Linked DNA regions of Cricetulus griseus. The protein of the gene in region 2 interacts with the protein of the main gene of each other region in a biochemical or structural test. Links are inferred from orthologs where the notes say so. Each region holds a gene or a part of one and is shown on either strand. Other genes may lie near its edges. The genes, in order: Magoh and Ipo13.

Region 1 (4,573 bases), about 7.5 Mb from region 2:
GCAAACCCAATGCTAGGAACTATATCAAACACTGTAAATATATTTAATTCTGTGATAGTACTTAGGAGTAAAAGGTAGGTTTTATTATCCCTCATTTTGCAGATGGAAGTATAGTGACCAAGTTTAGCCAGGGAACTTATCTGAGGTCACATGGTCAGTATGGAGCATATTGAGGGTTCAAACCAACACAGAGATTTCAAAAAGTTGCTAGTTATTAATTCAGCAATCCAAATAAATAAATAAATAAATAAATAAATAAATAAATAAAAAACATGCAAACCAAAGATGTGAGAAATAATCTAGCCGTGTAGAAATAGTGCTTAGCTGGGTGTGATGGAGCACACCTTCAAACCCAGCTTGGGAGTTTCAGGATGGCCAAGGCTATACAGAGAAACCCTGTTTTGAGAAACAAAAACAAAAAACCAAATAGAAAACAAAGAAAAAGAAGTATTTGTTTCTCCACTCTTTACTTTTCATTACTATTACCAGAGAGCGCAGAAACAATGTAAAGGGCTCACTGGTAGTGAAGGACAGGGTCCTACCTCTTTTCTGATCATGACATCATTTTTGTAATTGCTGTTGTTGGCATATCGAAGTTTTCCTGTGGGGCAAATAAATAAATAAATAAATAAATAAATAAATAAATAAATGCAATTTACAACAAAACATCAACTCAGTAGCCTACTAACAATACCAACTTTGCCTAAATTATATCCAATTCTCTCTCTTGGCTGTCCTGGAACTCGATCTGTAGACCAGAATGGTCTCAAACTTACAGAGATCCACCTGCCTCTGCCTCCTGAGTATTGGGACTAAAAGTGTGGGCAACCACCGCTGTAGCCGGCATTATATTCAATGTTCAACCCAATTCACAGCTATTATATTAGTCTTTACAGTGCTCCACTTTAAATTATGAAACAGCTGAAGACTAACCTGACACTGAAATAGAGTTCAGGCAAAAGTTACTTTGATTTGGCAAAAGAACACAGGCAGGCTCTTTTACGACTCTGGCAAATAGCTTTTCAGCAGGTCAATGATCTCAGCTGTAAACAGAAATGATAATTGCTAAGTTCCCTGCACAGAGAACATGCTGAAAGTATTTTGAAAACGGTAGGAAGCGACATACACATGCCCATGTGGTCTTGTGGTATGATCTATTTCTGCATACTTTTAAATTGAGCACATTTGGTTCATAAGTCCTTCTGTGCATGAGTACAACCACCAGGCTAGTTTGGGTATATAGTGTCATGTGGCAGAAAAAAACAGGGAACTTTGGGGAGAAGCATCTAATTTAGTCTGACTGTCTGAGCAGGTTTCATGCATAAAGTGACTTAGGTGGGTGGAATATAGGAAGAATGTGAAGTGTAGGTGTGGGCTAAGGGACCAAGAATAGAGAAGATGGTGTTTTGGACCAAATTCACATCAAAGACACTGGAAACTAAAAAGTGCTTGGGATGTTGCAGGCAGAAACAAAGTAGTGTGGGCAGAGTATTGTAGGGTTGAAAAGGCAGACAGGAACTCAGCTTGGCTGTATGCCATGGTAAGGGGTTTGAATTTTGTCAGGAAGGCAGAGGGAAGTTATTGACAGTATCAGAGAACTACAGTCATCTAATTACACAGGCCTCTTGCTACATGTTCTTGTCCATCTTATAGAGAACTAACTGAAAAAGGGAAAGATTTGAGTAGAATTGTCCTTGCCTCCTCACCACACCACAACCGTCCCAAAATATTATCAATCAGATACATTCAGATCGTCTCCAACAGTATCCTAAGTCTTCTCCACGTCTATAGTCCTAGCTGTCCTAGTCCCGACCGCCATCTCATGTCTATTCTGTGTCCAAGCGCTAGGATGCTTTCTGAAGATCATCACACCTTTTCTCTTATAAGCTTCAAGCTGTTTCCTGCTGCTCCTATTTATGGTCTACAAACACCTAACATCATCTCCTACTGGTTTCCCTAGAATTCTGTCCTTCAGTCACCTCAACGGCCATCTGAAACATGCCTGGTTCTTTGCTGTCCTATGACCTCTACATTTGCCACTCCGATAGAAGACTTTTCTTCCTGAGCTTCACAAACTGACTGGTCCCTTCTCGATTCCGGCTCAATTCAAATACCCACTGTTCAGAGTGCTCTCGAAAAAGAGACCCTATTTTCGGATCACTCCTCACTACAGGAGATCACTGTTTATGGTTTCTCCCAGTACCTAAACACATGTTCCACGAGAGGGGAAATTTATCTTCGTGGCTCTGTCCCCAGAGTGGAACACGGCCCGGTGTAAGATGGACATTCAATCAATCTTTGTTGAAACGTTAACAACCTGGCTTTTTAAAGCCACTAAGAAGCCGGGCGTTGGTGGTGCATGCCTTTAATCCCAGCACTCGGGAGGCAGAGGCAGGCGGATCTCTGTGAGTTCGAGGCCAGCCTGGTCTCCAGAGCGAGTAGGCTGCCAGGACAGGCTCCAAAGCTACACAGAGAAACCCTGTCTCGAAAAACCAAAAGAACCCAAAAGTTACTAAGGAGAAGCTCCAGCGTATGGACAGAAAGGACCAGTGAGGCCGAAAGAAAAGACTACGCCTTTCACAACCCAAGAGCTCCGGTCTCAGTCCCTTCCTTCACAAAAGCCGCGGCCCGGCCTCTCCGCCCTCCCCCAGGTCCCGTTTCCCTTCCTTGTAGGCGGGAGGCCGCTCTTACCGTCAGGTCGGAATTCAAACTCCAGGAACTCATGACCGAACTTGCCTTTGTGACCCACGTAGTAACGTAGGTAAAAGTCACTCTCCATGGCTCACACGGGACAATCAAGACCGAACTTTACGAACAGATCACACTACCACGATCTGCGCCCTCTACTGACGTAACGGCGGCGCGCGGAAGTGACGCCACAACCGCGCCGTTAATAACAGTTTTTTCACCCTTGGGAGGCGGGAACGAGACTACCCCGCCCCCGCGTCCTGCGGCGAGATCCGGATCACCGCTCCTCCTTTCCGGAAATCGAGTGCTTTGCGAGGTCCTGCGCTTCCGTTACGTCCTGGGCTTCCACGGGGCAGCTTTACCTATAGGCTTAGGGCCAACCCTGCGATCTGTAGTCCAGTCAGGCTCAACCGCAATGTAAAGACACACGAAAGAGGCCATTCACACTCTGAACCCAGGTGGTCTCCACAGTAAAATGGGCAAAAAATGGCTCCCCCATCTTTGAGCACGCTGCCCCCTTCCCCACCCCCAGGGTCTGAATCAGGAGTTGCGTTTGAGGGGCAGTGTAGTAGCGAATAGCTGTGGCCTAGCACTCAAAAGCTTAACGCCGCCCAGGAGTCACGAGTTGAGGCTAGAGGCTGCATACTGTAAGACCCTGTCTCGAAAAAGTTCGCTTTACTTTTTTTTTTTTTTTTTTTTGAGACAGGGTTTCTCTGTGGCTTTGGAGGCTGTCCTGGAACTAGCTCTTGTAGACCAGGCTGGTCTCGAACTCACAGAGATCCGCCTGCCTCTGCCTCCTGAGTGCTGGGATTAAAGGCGTGCGCCACCACCAACGCCCGGCTCGCTTTACTTTTGTGTGTTTGTTTTGGGTTTTCCAGACAGAGTTACTCTGTTTAACAGCTCTGGCTGTCTCTTTTAAGAAAACTTTTCCCCGAGCAGTGTTAGTGCACACCTTTAATCCTTAAGGCAGGTGGATGTCTGTGAGTTAGAAGCCAGCATGGTCTACAGAGCGAGTTCCAGGACAGACCCCAAAGCTACAGAGAAGCCTTGTCTCGAAAAACAAACAACACCCCCCGCCCCCCCCCCCCGTTTTCAATGACTCCTTCCCCAATCCACAACGTTGCCTGGAACTTGTCTGCACTGCCAACATCCCCTTCTGCCGTTTGCTTATTTTACAATTTATAGGCAAGGTGCAGACTGACGGGGCACTTGTGACCCTCCTACCTCAACTTCCAAGAGTGTCACCTCTTAGGCACAAGTTGCCTCTCATCTCTCCTGTCTCCCAGGCTCACTGCTGTCTAGGATAGGTGCTGTGGGAGGATGTTAAAGTGGACATTGGATTCCCACTCCCAGATACCTTACCCACAGTGATTCTAAGCCACACACACACACACACACACACACACACACACACACACACACACTGTGGGAGGATGTTAAAGTGGACATTGGATTCCCACTCCCAGACACCTTACCCACAGTGATTCTAAGACACACACACACACACACACACACACACACACACACACACACACACTGTGGGAGGATGTTAAAGTGGACATTGGATTCCCACTCCCAGACACCTTACCCACAGTGATTCTAAGACACACACACACACACACACACACACACACACACACACACACTGTGGGAGGATGTTAAAGTGGACATTGGATTCCCACTCCCAGACACCTTACCCACAGTGATTCTAAGACACACACACACACACACACACACACACACACACACACACACACACTGTGGGAGGATGTTAAAGTGGACATTGGATTCCCACTCCCAGACACCTTACCCACAGTGATTCTAAGACACACACACACACACACACACACACACACACACACACACACACTGTGGGAGGATGTTA
Region 2 (3,811 bases):
ACACACAAAAAATGTATTTCAGGGGAAAAATTCAAAGGAGAGAGCTTGGAAGCAGGAACAAGCTGAGCTGGAGGGAAGACTGCTACTATCAGGACACCTGGGGAAGGCAGAGTCTGGATTACCCAGGAATCAGTCACTGAAGGTGACTTTCTTAACCTAAATATAGCAAATTAGCCTGGACAGAGCAGATCCCCAGTGCCAACTCCTGGCTTGTTGTAGCCCACCCATAGGGAAATCGCCTGTGTAGATTTCCTACCACACATGCTAGAAGCTTCTGAGCAAACAGAACAAGCCTGAGGCCTCAGAGGTCTCTAGACTTGCTAAAGGAAGCCTGAGAGATTGTCTTTAGGACCATGGTTAAGGCTGCTTTCAAGAGGCCTGGCTCTAGGTGGTCAGCCCCTGCAGCTGGAGCAGAGTTGTTGGGGATGTCTTGGCTGCCGCTCACACTGAGCTCAGCCCAGACCTACAATTAGAGCTCTGGGAGCAGAGCTGAGAAAATGGGAAGAGTTGCTAAGCAACTAAGGGGCTGCAACCAATGGGCGCCCAGGAGGCTATGGGTTCCCTCACTGGCCTCTTGCTTGCTCATTCGTTCAGAAGAGAAGGGGCATCAATTACTTGTTAAAGCCCTTGAGACAGGCTGGGTGGGTAAACTTGGCTATATCCAAGGATACCCCGAGTCACCCTGGTAATTGCCCTGATAATTGTCTTTAGCTGATACCTAAGCCCATCCAGCACTTGAGTCTCATGCTGCCACAAGAGCTCTGACTTGAGACTTGGTATCCACCTTATGCTAGGGATCCAGGGGTATCTTACTAACTGCTCCTGCAAAGATAACAGCAAATATTAGCAAATACACAGGATGATATGGGGTACATGGGAACCACATTAAACATCTCATGTTCTTTTATTTAACCTTCAAACCAAAAAATGTTTTCAACCAATACTTTTTGGTTTTAGTCTTTAGTAGTGCGATTGAACCTAGGGGCTTATGCATGTTCGGCAAGCACTGTACTGCTGAGCCTTGCTATATCCACAGCCTTTAGAGTTTTAAAGAACAGTGATTAAACACACTACCTCTGTGTGTGCATGTGTGCTTGTGTGAGAGCTCTACTCTAGTCCACCGTTTGTAACAGTTTCTACTTCTTACCACCAATTCTAAAAGCAACAGGCTTTAATCAGTTTAACAGTAGCTCTCTGTTTCTCTCTTTTAAAAAAAAAATGTTACCATTAAACTTGATCACCAATGGTAGAAGGACAAAAATATTATACATACAGTCCCCAATTTAAACCACATGGCAAATGCATAGCATATATGTACTCATATGTGATGCTGATCTCCCACCCTGAGTAAAGGCCACAAAAGAGCTGCCATCATTCAAGGAATTGAAATACTCTTACCCAATACCAAGGGCTGGCCCTGTATACATCATACTGTTCTAGCATTACAATTACTCCTTATGTTTTGTATGATTGCCTCCATTCTTGCTTAGAAGTGGTTTACCCAAGGTTCTCACATTTAGTAAACAAACTCTGGAATTCAAACTCAGACACAACTATTGCCAAAGCTAGAGCTGTTAGCCACTCCTCCACACAGCTTTCAGTGGTGTTCCCCTCCATGTCTACCCAAGATTCCCAGAACCCTATCTCTGAAGTGCCAGAGTCAGGTTTTCAGTCTTGTTTTTTCCAGTCCAACTTACTTACACCCAAAAGAATCTCAATAGACCATTTTCTCTGCATAAAATCCTTTAGTAGCTTTATACCAGCCCCAGGATGAAAAAAAAAATCTAAGACTAGTTAACAGGTCCCACATGATTTGAACCTGGTCCTCCTCCTACTAGTCTGACCTTTAAATCCTGCTATCTAATCATACCTAAAGGTTTACAAGTCACCACTAATTCCTTCACATCTTTCACCGTGCCTGGGTACTTTCCATCTGTCTGGAATGTTCTCTCCAAATCCATCAGCAGCATCTGACTAACTTTCCAAGTACAGTTTGGCTATCACTTCCTTTAGGCAGGCTTTCACACACCTCAGACGGGGTTAGGAGCCTCCACTGGGTTCCTAGAGCTTCTGCCCTCTCCATCAGCATTGCATGGTAGCTGACGGTAGATGCCTACTTATGTGCTCATCCCTCTGTGAGTAGCTGACATGAGCTAAAGCCTTCACCTATGTGCTCCAAGTGCTCATCACCTGGCCCAATACAGCATGTCCCTGATGGATGTTTGACAAATGCACAACTCCCTGCCTTCACCTTCTCTCTGGCCTTTGAAATGTGCTGTGGCATTGGCCACTCCGGGGCTTTGTACCTGTTGTGGTTCCTGAAGCTAGAAGCACCTCTCCTCACCCAATCTCCTCTACCTCCAACCCTCCCATTTTTTTTATCCATTCAGAAATTGGTGGATACTCCATTTCCCAGGCACAATGAGATAGAGTAAAACGACAGATGAGGGGCTCATGGGGAGATGCACATTGATTCATATAGGAATCACATTACAGGCTAAGAAGGAAAACCAGGAATATTACTAAGAGTGCTGAAAGAATACAGTAGAGAAGACAAAGGTTGGTCTGAAGAACCCTTGGGAACTTCTCTATGGAAGTGAGATGAAATTTAAGGTGAAGGGGAGGTGATGTGCCGGGCACTTGTTCAGGGGTTGGAGGGAGCAGAAAAGAACAGTCTAGAAACATAGGAAGGTAGGAAGTCAAGAGAGTGACATGAAATGAAGTTGGTGTGTGCCTCTTTGGGCAGGCACCTTTAAGAGTTAGATTCATGACTCTGAACTTTAAATACAGAGGAAAGCTGTTGGTCAGAAGGGAAAGATTAGACCCTCATTTTCAGAGGTCACTCTAACTGTTGGGATGACGAAGGGTACAAGAGACAAAAAGCAGGAGACTGATGAAAAAGCTCTGCTAAAATCTGGGAATGATGACAGCTGGGACTAGGGTGGCAGCAAAAACTGAAAATAATCGATCTGCAATATGGTCAGGAGCAGAACAGCCAGGACTTAGCGAATGGCTGAGGGAAAGAGAGGAGGCAAATATTTTAACAGTCTACCAGATAATTAATTGTTTGATGTCTGCCCCGCTTTCTCAACCATGAGGACAGGGACCATGTCTCATTTGTATCCTTGTTTCTGTCTCCAGCATAGAATAAAGCACTGTATCCAGTATAGGATACAGACACTGCAGTAATGTTCAGTGGATGGGTGGGGTGTCACTCTGTGGGAAGCTGGAGACAAACTCACCTTTGGGCATCAGGCTGGGAGATGGCATTGACAATGGCCTCCACACTGCTGTCAAAGAGCTCTGAGTCCTGCAGTGCAGTGAAGGCAGCCTGAATGAGCGCCTCACAGTCTTGCAGAGGTACTTCCAGCTGCACCCAGCTGGAGAAGCACTTGAGCACCTTCTGACGCACACAGCTGGGCGAGCTGGGCTGTTGTAGCAGTTGCTCCAGGAGTGGAAAGACAGCCCCACACTCCACAGCCAGGCTGGCCCGCACCAGACCTTTGCGGTACTGGGGCAAGCGGCTAGTCTGGAACTCCTCGGGCAGTACTGTCAGCAACTCTAGCAGGGCCAGACAACGGCCCTGGCCATCCACCGGAGAGTCCTCAGCCTGGAAGAGCCGAACCATATCTGCCACCACACATGGCCAAGCGTCAGGCATCATGCTGAGAGCCAGTGAGGCCAGTGCCACACATAGCCGAGTCAGCACAATTTTGGAGCCACTAGCAAAGCGGGTAATCTGGGTGAAGAGCTGTGCCTTTAGGCTTTCATACTGGTCAGTGGGGATGTCACTCCAATATCGAGAGATCTT

What was found.
Region 1: the proteins of Ipo13 (region 2) and Magoh form a complex in vitro, tested with the Homo sapiens proteins (2 studies listed by BioGRID and IntAct). The link is inferred for Cricetulus griseus from reciprocal best matches to the Homo sapiens genes IPO13 and MAGOH.

What each region holds. Positions count from the first base shown.
Region 1 is NC_048595.1:41,959,389-41,963,961, forward strand, and holds the start of Magoh (protein mago nashi homolog), read right to left. Parts: upstream 2,875-4,573; 5' UTR 2,780-2,874; coding exon 2,692-2,779; intron 602-2,691; coding exon 543-601; intron 1-542. UniProt on the Homo sapiens protein: Required for pre-mRNA splicing as component of the spliceosome. Plays a redundant role with MAGOHB as core component of the exon junction complex (EJC) and in the nonsense-mediated decay (NMD) pathway.
Region 2 is NC_048595.1:34,412,078-34,415,888, reverse strand, and holds part of Ipo13 (importin-13), read right to left. Parts: coding exon 3,243-3,811; intron 1-3,242. UniProt on the Homo sapiens protein: Functions in nuclear protein import as nuclear transport receptor. Serves as receptor for nuclear localization signals (NLS) in cargo substrates.